Lonchura striata: one gene and its partner. The protein of the gene in region 2 purifies or fractionates together with the protein of the main gene of each other region. This does not show direct contact. Links are inferred from orthologs where the notes say so. Each region holds a gene or a part of one and is shown on either strand. Other genes may lie near its edges.

Region 1 (7,056 bases), on a different chromosome or scaffold from region 2:
TAATCAAGAACTGGGAAAGAATCTTGTGACCAACTTTTTCATCATTAGCATGAAAAAACATAAGCATTGTTTAAACCAAATGAAATGAATAACATCAAACACAGAAATTAACATAGGAAATGCTAACTAATTAATAATTCTGCTGAATCTCAACAGCTGCTACAGGACTTAATCTAACTTTAGCAGTCAGTTTTACCTCTACTGCAGGTGAGGACAAGTAATTTGTAGAGAGCTGTTAAGGAGACTTAATCCACTCTATTATCCAGCTCAAGAAGGTAATTTGTTAAACTGAAAGCTTGGTCAAGTCTTCTAACACTTTGACACTCTTAATTCTTAGATTAGAAGATCACTGGCTTCAGCAGGGGGGCAAAGAAACTATGTAACCCAAAATAAAGCCTCAGGGCTTCCTAGGGGTGGATAAATAGTGCAAAGCCCAAGCCTGACAGTATCACACCACTTAACTGTCCTGCAGCCTTGAATTCTGTCTTGTCACTATCAGAGATTACATAGAAAAGGTTTTTGGGGGTTGGTTTGTTAAACTTGGATGTACATGAGTAAGTGTGGATACATAACAGATACAGAGTGCAGCTAACATTCAGAACTTTCCTACAGTCCAACAGAAATGGCATCATTTGAACTATAGATTAAAACCATTAAATTGCTCCTCAAACAATGAGGCAGTTCTTTATCCTACTGAGGTATGAGCTGTTTATAAAGGTGAATGACTTCCACAGTGGAGGTATTAAGACACATCCACACTGTGGCTTGTGATTCATGAGTGTCTTTGACTAAGCCAGTCACTTCTTCAGGGCCAGTAGAGTGCAAGTGTCAGTAGGACGAGAAGAACCAAGCCCTAAATTTAAAAGAAAAGTAACTGGAAATATTTTTCTCCCCCTTAAGCCCTGATAGCCATCTCTGAAGCCACTTGTCTTCCATGCTGCAGCACTCTGGAGGTGTCTTCAAATTACTTTGGCACTGGCAGGATTCCAGCTGCAGCCAGAAGACAGAACTGTCTTAGCTATTTCACAAACTATTATTCCATTTAACAAGTTAATGGAAGCACCAGCAGCAATCCTAACCTGAATAATGCAAACCCCTAAAGCAACCACTGCAGCAAACCCGTAAGCAAAGCTCAATGTAGTCACCCTCTCAGATTTCTCTTTAGACAGACAAAACCATCAGCAGCTACCCAGTAATTTCCCCTCCTGATTTTAGGGAAGACCTTGGTAAGAGCAGGAAGCATTTCTGAAAGGTGCAATGCAGGTATTAATGTTCATAAAAGCAAGTTACAGACAGAAGGCAATACCTACAGGAAGACAACAGGACCCTTGCCTGATCTGTGGAATTCTCTTCATATCAAAGTGCACTTCTATGAACACCAGAAACTGTGATTGAGACCAGTGTTACATTACACATCAAAGCCAAAGAAGTTCCCTGAACAACTCTGGGAATACTCCTGCACTGAGATCTCCCCACTCCCAGCAGCAACAGATTAATGCTGCTGTGACAGGTAATGCACTCAACTGTGTCCACACTTGTGTTGGAACTCAAAATGTCCCTCAGACATTTTTGGAGGTTCCAGGCCCTGGTCAGAGGCATTTGAGACCCTGGCAGGCAGCTGCAAACAGCTGTGATTTTGGGTTTGAGCCATGGAACGATTTACCAACTTTGCAGGTGGAACAAGGAGTCACAAAAGTTTAGGTATTATAGTAGAAGTAGTTACAAAGTAGAGGGAAGAATTTTTTAGTACTGTACAAGGGGGTTTTAACACCTGTACAGCAGGGTTTTTACTTTGTACATGAGGGTCAGAAGTTTTAAGATGGAGGAATGTAGGCCGGTTCTGTTCCTCCTCTTTCTTCTTCCTTACCTCCATGTTCTTGATGATGTTGGCACTTAGGGGTTTAGAGTAGAAAAGCACCATTTAATATAGATAGTAGGTATTGGGGAAAAACTGTAAACATTTATCATGTAATGCACCATATAAAGGATAGCAGCAGCCCTGGGTGGGAGAGAAGAAGACAGCAGACAGAGAGGATGTCAGGGTGTGTGTGTGTGTGCCTCTGCTGGAGTTGCTGACCAAACCGCAGTAACCAGAGAAGAAAATCTTTTAGATAGCTTGCAATAAACTGCCTTGAGACCAAACTACAAGAGGCTGCTGAGTTTTCTTTGGAAGCACGGGTTGGAGGAGAGACTTTACCACGACACGGAACCCCTGAACCAGGCCAGGACTCGGACACACTTGGTTTAATGCAACCACCCACATTCCAGCAGGAACTGCTGCTCGGCCTGGTCCCAGAGCACCTAAAGACACACTCAAATAACCAAGATATTCTGATAATATTACTGTTACAAACACACAGAAAAGAAGAAGAACACAGCAACAAAATCCCCCTGTAATCAAGCTTTCATGCAGCTACAAAGCGTGCACCCATAGTGGCAATTAAATTTTACTCACTGAGCAACCTTAGATGAGACTCACCCGTCCAATTAAGGGCAATTAATAAACTGAACAGCTCAGACAAGCACGGGGTGCGACACATCAAGAAGGGCAGTGTTTGGGCAGAGGCGGACACCAGCAAAGCTTTCCGTGCGCCTGGCGGAGCTTTGCCTGGTTTCACACCAAGGAGCGAACGGGCGCCCGGCTCCTCCACACCCAGCAGGGCCGAGAGCTTCGAGCCAACACGACACACGCAGGAAAGCGGCTGTGCACAGCCACCGAGCCAGGCGGGGAGGAGAAGCCGTCAGGAGCCGCGCGGGATGAGCTCGAGATGCCCATCCCCACAGAGGGCCGCGCCCCGGCCCTTCCTCACGGAGGCGGCGCTGAAGGGGAGCTGCCCGTGTGCGGCACCGACACACATCCCCTCCCCTCCGCCCGGCAAGCCCTGTGCGTGCTCCGAGCTCGCCGCGGCCGTGCCCTTACCCCGGAGCGGTGACAGCGCTGGCCGCAGGGCGGCCCGGCCGGGCCGCAGCAGCGCCATGGCCGCCATGGCCGCCATGGCCGCGCATGCGCCGCCCGCGGGGCAGCGGCGGGCGCGGCCTGTGAGGGCCGGGCCGCCTGAGGGGCGGCGGGCTCTGTGCGATAAAACCAAAACACGAACCGTGCGCGGCTCCTCCGCGCCTGCCGTGCCTCGTAGCTGTCGTGTGTGGTGAACCTAATTCGCGCCATTACATATGAAATGTGTAATGTTGGATACTTGTTTGGATTAGACGCGCACCCCCCCCCCCCCCCCAAACTCGCAGGCGAGACCTGGTGAATATGGGAATATTGGAAACTGATTTAAAAGGATGTGGCTCAGGAGATGGGCCATGTCTGGAGAGATATGGGGACCCCAGGTGCTGATCAGCGCATAAAAGACCCGAGATGGATATTATATTATAGAAATCCTCGGGCAGGTGCAGGTGAATGCAGCGTTCCCCTAAATTTCATCAAGGGATTCACCAGCTCCAGGACACGGAATTGTTCTTCCTCATCACCAAAAAAAAAAAAAAAAAAGAATAACCTATGGATTCTGAAGGGAAGAAAAGGCTGACTGCCGAAATCTTGGCCTCAGGCAGAATTTTCCCTATAAAACCCGCCTGTGCCAGGATGGAGGTGTGTGGGCACAGAGGAAAACCTCTGCTGAGGCTGACTCTTTGTTGCGCACCCAAGATCCATCCCCGGGCTCAGCACTGTTTTTTTTGGGTTTTTTTTTGTTTGCTGGACAAATTTTCATTTATAACATAGCCAAGAAGGGCAAAGGTGTACTTTGGGAAGAGCACTGGCAGCACTGCAGGGAGGTGGTCCAGCCCCTCTGCCCAGCACTGCCCAAAGCGATGCTCAGCTCCCACCTCTGCAGGGCTGTGTCCAGGTCTTGGCTCCTCAGTACAGGAGGGAAAAGAAGCTCCTGGAGTGCTCCAGTGGCAGGCTACGAGGGTGATTTAAGCATCTCTCTTAGCAGGAGAGGCCAAGGGAAAGGCCTGGGCCTGTTCAGCCTATATGGTATTTTATAATAAAATATGCATTAAAAAATGCGTATTTTATGATCGGCTTTTCGCAAATGTTACAATGAATATTATATGTGTAATGTTAAGAGAGTTATTCTGTATTAATTCTCTCAAGTACTGTGTTAAATACAGTTTTTAGGTTACAGCATAATGTTAAAATAGAAATTCTGCGATATAAGATTTGTCACAAGCTCAAGCGAGAAGATGAGATAATCAAGAAACTTCACACAGAGATGTCAGCAAAGGGGGCCCATAAAAAGTTACTGCCTCCTTATCAGGAAAGACAAACATTCTTCCACCTTCTCTCTGTCTTTTTGGAACCACCAAGATTAAAGAGAAGAAGTTGACAAAAACCAGAAAAGTTCTTAATATGCAAGGAATTTATGCATCATGTATGAGATATATGAATATGCAACAGGCTATTGCTTTTAAGGTTATTCTTTTGTTCACAAGGGATGCTTTTTGTGATTTAGTGTCCGAGAGCATCCGGACATCCATAATTCTTTGCTGTTTATTGTCTTGTAATTGCCCTAACTCTAAATTTTATTACTCTAATTGTATTACTATTTTTATAATAATTTTATTATTACTCAACATTTAAAAATTTTATAAACCAAGTGATTAACGTTTTTCACAAGCCTCAAGAAGAGATGGCTGAGAAGGGACCTCATTAAAGATCATTATGATCAGTGCAGACTGATTATAGAAGGGGGTGCCCACCACCATGCTCTACTTATGTTGTCTTGATACACACCACTACAGACCCCACCCCACTTCATTATGATGATGGCAAACTTAATGAAAACAAATCAATCATAAAACCACACTGGTTTTCATTTCCACAGTGAGTTAATACTCCCATTCAGGTCATGTGTAAGTCAAATATTGGGAAAATGTTGAAATCCTTAAACTCAAGCAGTTTCTGGTTTGCAGTTAAACAAAAAAAAAAATCGTCAATATCCAAAGCTGGTAATAAATTTTTCAAACGGGTTCATAAAAAATGAAAAAGGTATTATATTATGTACATGCAGAAAACAAACTACACTCCTAATTTCACTGAAAGAAAGATTATTTTCCATAGCTCTTTTGTGGGAAAATACATGGAATAGTTCAAATGAGTGTTACTGAGAAATACAGTGTTGCTTGCATGACTGCATATAACTATTTAAAAGACAAGCACAAATGTCCCAGGATAAAGCAGCAAGAAAATATTTGAAACAAGTTTATTTTTAAAAATGTTTATTGAAATGCCTTCATTGCATCATGCAGGATACAAAAATCATTATTAGAAAACCTTTATAACTATACTTGGGAATAAAATCAAGATACATCAGGAAAAAATAATAACTGTATAAACAAAAGCAATTTATTTGATAGTGTTTTAAATTATAGATTACAGGCTGTGATCTGCACAGATGATAACAATTACCTTGCAACAACAGTCTCTTCTATGATTCAAGTAGAAACTGATGGTTGTCATGCTAGACCAACCACATCACTTGTACATACCACAGACCTGTTCATTACAGTTACAGGGCTTAAAAAGTATAACAAAAATATTCTGCCAGCATACTTCTATTCTGTTTTCAGTTTATTTGTTCAATTAAAAGCCATTAGCTTTCCATCAAAGAAAAAAAAAAGGCTAATGTGCTTTCTTCTAGTACACAAACCACAGAGCATGTTTCAATTATAATCAAATAGAACCTCTTTAAAGTCATAATATGACACTTTCTTGAAGTTCATTTCAATTAAATAATTTATATTTTTGCAATATTATTCAAGAACTTGGAGGTGATTTTAAAACGGGAGACTGCTGCACCCTCAGTATTTTTGCTGTTTTAGGAATCTCAATCCCTACTACTTCAAACTTCCAGGTTTTTTATTCATACACTGCTTAGTGTAAACTCTTAGAACTCACCTTTCTATTTATTCTATTTGACAGCATTATTCTGTGCAGATATACATTAAAGAATTCTCTGGGAAAGCTTGTCTCCAAAGAGTCCAGACACGCAGAGATTTTGGTGCTGGCTTCAAGGCAGGCAATATTTGAGAGATTTCAATAGTGTTCACTTGGCACATAGTAAGATTAGAACCACACTGGAACCTTACGATATAAAAGAAAATTCCTGTAGAGTCCAGAATCATCTTATTCTGTTCAACAGGGAGGATTAAAAAAATCCCTCTTTATGAGGCAGTTAATACATGTGTTTCCATTTCTCAACCTTGTGGAAAAATTGCATCTTTATAAAGCTATCCATCTTGGGTTTCCTTTTTTTTTTTTTCTTGCTGTGCTCCATAGATACAAACCTTAAACACGCAGTTGTTTGCCACAAAGTTTTTGAGCATACAGAATATAACAATTTAATTACATTAAAAGTCATTAAGAGTTTTGGCACTGTCCCCTTACAGAAAGTTAGGTATAAGTAACAATATGAAAACGTAAGGGAAATCATGTAACTCTTTGGCTCTGTTGTAACACTTAACTACTAAGGCAAGAACTGTGTACCTTAGGACTTCTTTTTTGTTTGTATTTCTATAAAATACTTGACTAAAGTTTTTAAAAAGTCACCTAATCATCTATAAATGCCAAATTTTGCATATTAAAATATATGCTTATTACACCTTTTTGTTTCACTACTAGAATTTTTTGCATACCAATGAGAACACACACACTTGTAAATTGTTCAGTATAAATTTACTAAGACATTCTCTGTATAAGAGAATCTGTAGAAACTTATCATTCAATCAAGATGCTGTAATTAAAATTGCCTGATTATCCATTTTGGAGCACTATGATTCTCTCAACAGCTTTAGCTTGTTCATTCCTATAAAAATCAATTACAACAGGTAACAACCCTCCCTTTTCAATGCATTTGCAACCCCCGCTCGACCTGAGGTTTTGGGTGCACATCATAAGGAGGACATTTCAGGGTATTCACTGGCTTTTCAGCTGTCACTAGCTATGGCTAACTTCATTAGTTATGTTATTGCAGGATGCCCTATTGCTCCCCTTTTATTATAACATGAAGTGGGTGTAGCCTTCTGCTCCTGTAACAATGACATCCATCCATA
Region 2 (6,976 bases):
ATAAAGGGAACAGCATGAACACCAAGACCAGGGAATGACCTCATTTTGCATTCTACAAAACCAAAAGCTAGCCTCTTAACACCAAATCACAGCAAAAATGGTTTTGAAAAATTGGAAAAGCCTAGCAATACTGAGAGATAAGTACTTAACTCTTGACAGCATTACCAAGGAAGTCTCTTGAACATTGAATAAACACATCCAAAAAAGCAACACTAATTCAAATTCTAGTTGGTGTCTATTTTCCTGGATTTGGGAGAAACGGGAGTCTGGACCTCATGTGTGAAATCAAAGCACACTGAAAAGGAAGGCCGTGGTGAAACTTTCTGTGAAGGACAACAAAATCTCACTTTTAAAAAAACAACAAAGCCAACTAACCAAAATACCCCAAACAGTTGCTTCGTACAATTTATTACACCAAAGAAGCAGTCAAGAAAGCCCAATGGACAGTAAATCTCCATCAGATGCTTTACAGCCTACTTCCAGGTCCCAAGCCTTTAGAATTCTAGCTTCTCCAGCATTTACACATCCAGATACTTTTCCATCATAAAATTGGTACAGCATCCCAATTCTGTCAAGAAATATCAATAAATCTTGCTTGTAACTTTGTGTACAGACCATTTTAAAGAAAATACACAGGAAAACTATTAACATAAATGTGATTAAAGCTTGCTTTTTCCCTATACCATATTCTTCCAAGACAGCCATCCCCAAACTAGTCATAATGGATCAGAAACTGTCAGCTGTAACCTTGCACAGTTCTGAAGCAAGAATTACCTTTCTTTCTGAGCATACAGTTTCTGTGGTTTTCCAGAGTTCTACCAAAATCAAGTCCCCAGACCTCTTCTCCATAAAGCCATCCCTCCCATACTAATATGTGTTATTCTACCCCTGCAGAATAAACTATAGTTTACTAACTATTAAGCTAACTAAAGTTTCCTAAAAGAACATATCTGAAGTGTGAAGAGAAGAATCATTGAGAAATTAAGGAACAGACTAGCTTTTAAAATAAAATCACAAGGACACAGTGGTAGATGTCATTTGTAATGTCACAGTGTTGTTATGGTTTTAGGAATGCATTGTTTGTTCAGTCACACACCTGAGAAGTCTATGTCCAGGACCCAAAATTCACACTCACCAATTAGGTAATTAATCAGGCAATTATCTTTTTTCTAACTAGGTGTGTCTAAATTAATCTGCTTTGGAAAGAGAATATTAAGCCAAATTTCATTAACAGTCACACCTTTTAAAAATACCAACAAATATCAAAGACAGGAAATGTAATTTTCCCTGCTAAAAAACGTCTAATAACTGAAAGGAAAATTCATGCTACAGTTTCCATAAGAAACACACAAGAAAACCTATTTTTAAATTCTATTTTAATAAAAAGACAGGGCTGGAATGTGTTTTTAACACATTATCACCACTTCTTAAGTCCATGCACTTGTCACTCAAAGTCACTAAAGAACAACAAATGATATCACTTATCACTATGATAAAGCTTGCGTAAATTTAACCTATTCAAGTTAGAAAAGCCTGTATTCCACTACTGTGAATTAAAGAGAACATTTTGGTACATGCATGACAGCACATACTTGCAGACTGCAAAATCCTACTACACCACCACCAATAGCAACTTTGTGATCAATGATTCTTTCATTTCAGTAAAAACTGCATGTTTAACCATAAAAAAATCCATCTCCACCCTCCTGGGAAAACATGAAGGCAGAGGGAGAAATAGGAGCAGTCTTACTAAGCTTTGATTTTAACAAGTAAACAACAAGAGTTAGTAAGATTCAGGGAACACAATTCTTTGATAGAGGTGTACACATACTTGCACAAACAAGAAGTCTGCAAAATACTGCGATGCACACCAAAAACCCATCACATATAGCACACTGCCTAAAATCAAGCTACTAACTAGAAGCCAGCAGTATGAGCCACAAATACCGAATTCTCCTATAATGTTTCTGTCAAACTGTTTTAAGATGAAACGGAGAAATTATAAATTAGAGTAAATAAAGATAATACTGAATGAAGTTCCTAACAATGCATAAAGTTACCTTTTCAGATGATAAACCCTGGTTTTATAAAATACTAGCTCAAACACTTTACCCGCTGGTAAACAAACGCGGAAAAACTGAGCAACTTTCTCTCTTTCTTGGTTGCATACTCCCATCTTCTTCCTGCAAAAATTCCTTTCTTAGCTTCCACCTCTTCCTCTACCCTTCTCCTCCTGACTAACTACCCAGTGAACTCCCGCACGGCGGTACACGCAGGGGGACCAGCGGCAAAGCAGCACGCAGAGAACACGCTTCTCCAGCGGCCTCAAAACATGCCACTACCACACCAGCACCGGCCTCCTCGGCCGCAAGGCACAACCGAGGGGACGCGGGCAGATCCCGCGGCCGGCAGCACACACGCCAGCCCTCGCCAGCCCCAGAGGCAGGCCGCCCGCACACTCCTGCCCGGCCCCGCTCCCCGGCACCCAGGGGGCCGCGCAGCCCGGCGGGACCCGCCGCGGCGGCCGACACGTCGGCAGGGCCGCCCCGCGCCACCGCCCACCCACGGCGGCCGGGCCCGCCGAGGGCGCCGCGCCTCGCTCCGCCCGAAGGACGGGCGGAGGAGCGGGGCGGCTCGGCTGCCCCGCCGCCGGCCGTACCTGCGGCCCCGGCCCCGCCCGGCGGAGGCCGCGCGGCGAGCGGGCCGTACCGGCCTCCCCCGCTATGACACTGCAGAGCGCGGCCCGCCCGCCCGGGCCTCGCCTTCCTTCCGCCGCCGGGCCCCGGGCCCCGCTCCCGGCGGCGCCATGATGATGATCGGCCCCCAAGGCCGCCGCGCCGGGCCCCGCCGCCGCCGGGAGCGGCCTGGGCGCCCCGCGCCGCTCACCTTCATGTCGGGACATCCTAGTCCAGAGACGGCGGCCCAGGCCCGTCCCGGGGCTCCGGCGGGCAGCTCGGGCGCCGCTGCGGCCTCGCCCCCCACCGCCGCCCCGGTGCGAGAGGAGAGGGGCCGGGGCTGGGCCGGGAAGGGGGCGAAAACACAAGAGGCGGCGAGCAGGCGGCCTCCCTCCTCCTCCTCCTCCTCCTGCTGCTGCCTCCTCGCTCGCCCTGCGGGGGGCGGATCCGGTGGCAACGGCTTCCCGGGCGCCGTGACACGGTGACTCCGGGCGCCGCCGGCCGCCGGCGCCGCCTCCCGCGCCGCTCCGCCCCTGCCGCACCAGCGACGGCGGCGGCCGCGCTGGAGCCTTCCCGGCCCCGGCCCCGGCCCCTTCCCCTTCCTCCTCCCGCCCCGGCCGCGCTGCCGGAGGAAGAGGAAGCTCCCCGGCAGGGCGGCGGCCCTCCCGCGCGGGCTGCCGGGCCAGGGCGGGCCCCGCCCGGGGCGAGGAAGCGGCCGAGGTAACGGAACCCGGCACCGGCCTGACCGAAGGACACGCATTAATCAGCTTTTTTAATGTAAAAGGAGCGCAGAAAGAGCGGCCGGGAACAGCTGGGCGCATGCCCTGAGGCGGCGTTCCGTCACTGATCGCGTTACTCATTCTGTCAATTTGGGGTGCTGCGACTCCAGGCACAGGGCTGGAGTCTTCGTGGGTTTTTGTTGTTTTTTTTTTTTGTTTTTTTTTTTTTTTTTTTGGTTTTTTTTTGTTTTTTGTTTTTTGTGTTTTTTTTTTCTTTTCCCCGTGTTGTGTCTGTGTCAGGCCTGCAGAAGGCAGCTAGAAGCGTTCTTCAATTAAACTCCAGCTCTGTAAAGAGGATGCCTAAGGTGTGCCATGTGTTGTCCCACTCACAGAACACAACCACAGAGTAGCTTGACTTGGAAGAGAGTAACAGAGGTCGTGAAATAAGACCAACCTCATAAATGACACCGTATGCCTGAGAGTGTTTTCCAATGCTTCTTGAACTCTCTCAGGCTTGGTGCTGTGGTCACTTTCCTGGAGAGCCTGCTCCAGTGCCCAACCACTCTCTGGGTGAAGAACCTCTCTTTAATGTCCAGCCTAACCTCCTCTGACAAAACTTCATGCTGTGCCTTCAGCTCTTGTCACTGGTCACCAGTGTCTGCCCCTCCTCTTCTTCTCATGAGGAAGTTGTAGACTGCAATGAGGTCTCCCCTCAGTCTCCTCCAGGATGAACAGATCAAAGGACCTCAGCCACTTTCTCATGTGGCTTCCCCTCAAGGCCCTGTACTCCAGACAAGTGTGTTAGTCTGTCCACACCACGAGGACTTTTCGTCCTGTCATTGTTGGTTTCCTGCCACTTCATGGAAGCAGGCCAAACTTGAGATGAGTGAAAGACCTGCAACAGGGCCCTGTTTCTTCCCTGGGCACATATATAATGCATTTTGTTTCTGCCTTTCTTACTGTGACTTCCTGGCCTTTCCCTAAATTCCATCCATGATAATAGCATGGGTGAAACACATCTTTTTTACCTTCTCCCACCCGCTTTCATTTTCTCCAAGTTTTCCATCTACTGTGTTCAGTGGCATTCCTTCATCTATTCCCTTTGCCAATCCAACACCTCTATCTTCTTTACTGTCTTACACCACAGCTCCCATATGTCTGTCTCAGCCCAACAATTCTTAAGCATTTGTGTTGGTGAAATATCTTCTCAGTCTGTTTCAAAGGCCATGAGGGTCCACACCAGTGCAGCTTAAGTATCAAGGTGCTGGGAAACGCAAAAGTGAACCAGAAGGTGTTGAAAGGAGGAAGTGCCGACCTCATTCCTGGCACCACCTCACTCCCATGCTTCACTCCCGTGCCTTTTACAGCCTCTGCTTGATACCTTACATGCATGTGCACTCTGTTCCTGGTACAAAGGTATTCCTGGTTTCTCACCACCTGGTTCACTTCCAGCTTTCCTTTAGCTGCATGCACTTTCATAAACAGTGCCTACTGAGATGATAACCTGGGTCTAAAAGTCTAAAGTTCCAGTGTGTTGTGGGCATTTTCAGTGACAGCAAACAATACCTGTGAATTAGATAAGCTGTAGGGGGAAATGGAGATCATTTTGAGAACCATTTTGATGGGAGCCAAGGACTTCTTATGAGAGCAGGCAGACATGACCATGCAAAAAGGCAAGTGGCAATTAAAAGCAAATGGCAATTGCTTCACCCAGATGGAAAATACAGACCACCAGTTGCTCTCTTTCAGTTCCTAGAAGAGCAAGCTAGTTTGCAAGCTAGTAACTGGGCTGGCTAGAGATACTTAATTTCTGTGAAAGACTGACTCCTCCTGAATATAACTTTCTTCTCTCTGAGCACAACAATGCTGTCTTGGCTGCGCTAGGTTTCATCCTACCAAAAAAGCATGACCTCCCACATGAGCTACTCCCTATGCGTCTGATAAAATACAGAACTGCATGCCAGGTATTTCAGTGGGACCTGGAAGAGTCTGTGCTTAATCTTGGAAGTCCTTGATCTGATAATTTTGTTTCTCCGCACTTCAGTTAAAAACCAGTTCAATAAATTTTCCTCTGTTAAGTGTTACTCAGATGGATGGCCCTTGAGTGCACATGGTGCCTCTTCTGTGGTGTGTTCTCCATTTTTGTAGTCTTGAAGTCCAAAATTAAAACTGTAATCCTGTTATTTCCTGTTTTCTTGCCTTAAGGTCTGTATCTATACCCAAAGACACAGTATAGATGAAAGTCTTGGTTCTTTTGGAATCGTGTTAGAATATGCCTGCACATACAGCATTATATGCAGCGCCTGTTTTATATCCTTCAGAAGGAGTTTTGCTGATTGTCTCTTCTGCAAATATAGCAAATACTGCAAATGTAAGATAACTGGGGTCTCAGTGATTAGGACGTGGCAACTCTATCTGTGTGTGCAAAGAGGTACAAAACAGAATTTGAATGTCCTTTTCAAGGTCATGGCCACCAGTAGAAAATATTATTTTCTTAGCATTATCATGATAAATAACCTATACTGTCCTGGTTTTAAACAATACTGTTTATCAAACCCACATGCTGTTATTCCACAGGCAGAAGGAGAGATACATATTTTAGTTAGGTTTATAAAGTTTTGTTATGGATGAATCTTTCTGCCTCTAAGGAAGGAGCCTGCTATAATTGGCTTTCTTACTCTTTCTCTCCCATTCACCAGAAGAATTCATAGGCGAGAGTTCCTTTAAAGCCATGAGGAGAAAAATTCAACATTAGTATCTTCGTGATGGATAAAATCAAGCTGAGAAATAATTTTTTTTTACCCAAAGTCACTCAAGGTCAGAGCCAGCCAAGGGATTAGAGACCCAGTTCTCACAGCTAATTAGGCCATTGGATAAACCACAGTGATAAACAGAAAAACTGATGAATTTTCCCAACATATAATAATACAATGATAAAATTTGTGTCTGAAAGTCATAAAATCTTCTGAAATAGGGAAGAAATGTTTGTGTGGCCTCATGCAGTTCCTTTTTCTGCCACTGTAAAAAGATTGTCTGGAACAGACCAGAAATTTGACCACTGAACAGTGGTCACTGAACTTTGAATTGAACAGTAACATCCTAGAGCAGAACTCCCGAGTGTTAAAACTGTTACATTAGGAGACACATAATTGCCATTAATGCCCTCAAAATTATTCACACTTTTGTAAACTACTGAAAGCTCCCTCAGTCTGTGTTTTTAACTTGTTTCAGTGCTATTTCTAACAGGCTTCATCTATTTGAGGAATGCTTTACTTTGCTTGAATAGGTCATTACCAAGGCTGGGCAACCCACTACATGCCACAATTGCTCTTTGCAGGTTTGGTGGTTCAGGCTCACACTTGGAACTAAAACAGTACAGTGGTACAAAACTCATATATTGGTTGCTTGCTCATCAGTAGACGCATATGGAACTGTGATGCATACATACTCAATTATCAAATGTGTACAGTGGTACATGCCAGGGCCTTCCACTACACTTTCTTTTCTGCTGTTTTTCTGCCTCCTTTTGCTCAGTAATGGTTCAACACAATACTGTTGCTTACTGGCTATGTCCAGCATATG

The links. Proteins that work in one complex are often made in the same cells at the same time.
Region 1: the proteins of KCMF1 (region 2) and ABHD10 purify together in Homo sapiens (affinity purification with mass spectrometry; 3 studies listed by BioGRID and IntAct, counting the BioPlex papers as one, with this or other methods). This does not show direct contact. The link is inferred for Lonchura striata from reciprocal best matches to the Homo sapiens genes KCMF1 and ABHD10.

Annotation. Positions count from the first base shown.
Region 1 is NC_134604.1:3,863,792-3,870,847, reverse strand, and holds the start of ABHD10 (palmitoyl-protein thioesterase ABHD10, mitochondrial), read right to left. Parts: upstream 3,014-7,056; 5' UTR 2,997-3,013; coding exon 2,921-2,996; intron 2,835-2,920; exon of another isoform or gene 2,541-2,834; coding exon of another isoform or gene 2,480-2,540; intron 1-2,479. Other genes in the region: PHLDB2 (pleckstrin homology-like domain family B member 2), read right to left, coding at 7,001-7,056. UniProt on the Homo sapiens protein: Acts as an acyl-protein thioesterase that hydrolyzes fatty acids from acylated residues in proteins.
Region 2 is NC_134642.1:4,691,386-4,698,361, forward strand, and holds the start of KCMF1 (E3 ubiquitin-protein ligase KCMF1), read right to left. Parts: upstream 3,020-6,976; 5' UTR 2,903-3,019; coding exon 2,887-2,902; intron 2,390-2,886; exon of another isoform or gene 2,061-2,389; intron 1-2,060. UniProt on the Homo sapiens protein: E3 ubiquitin-protein ligase which accepts ubiquitin from an E2 ubiquitin-conjugating enzyme and then transfers it to targeted substrates, promoting their degradation by the proteasome.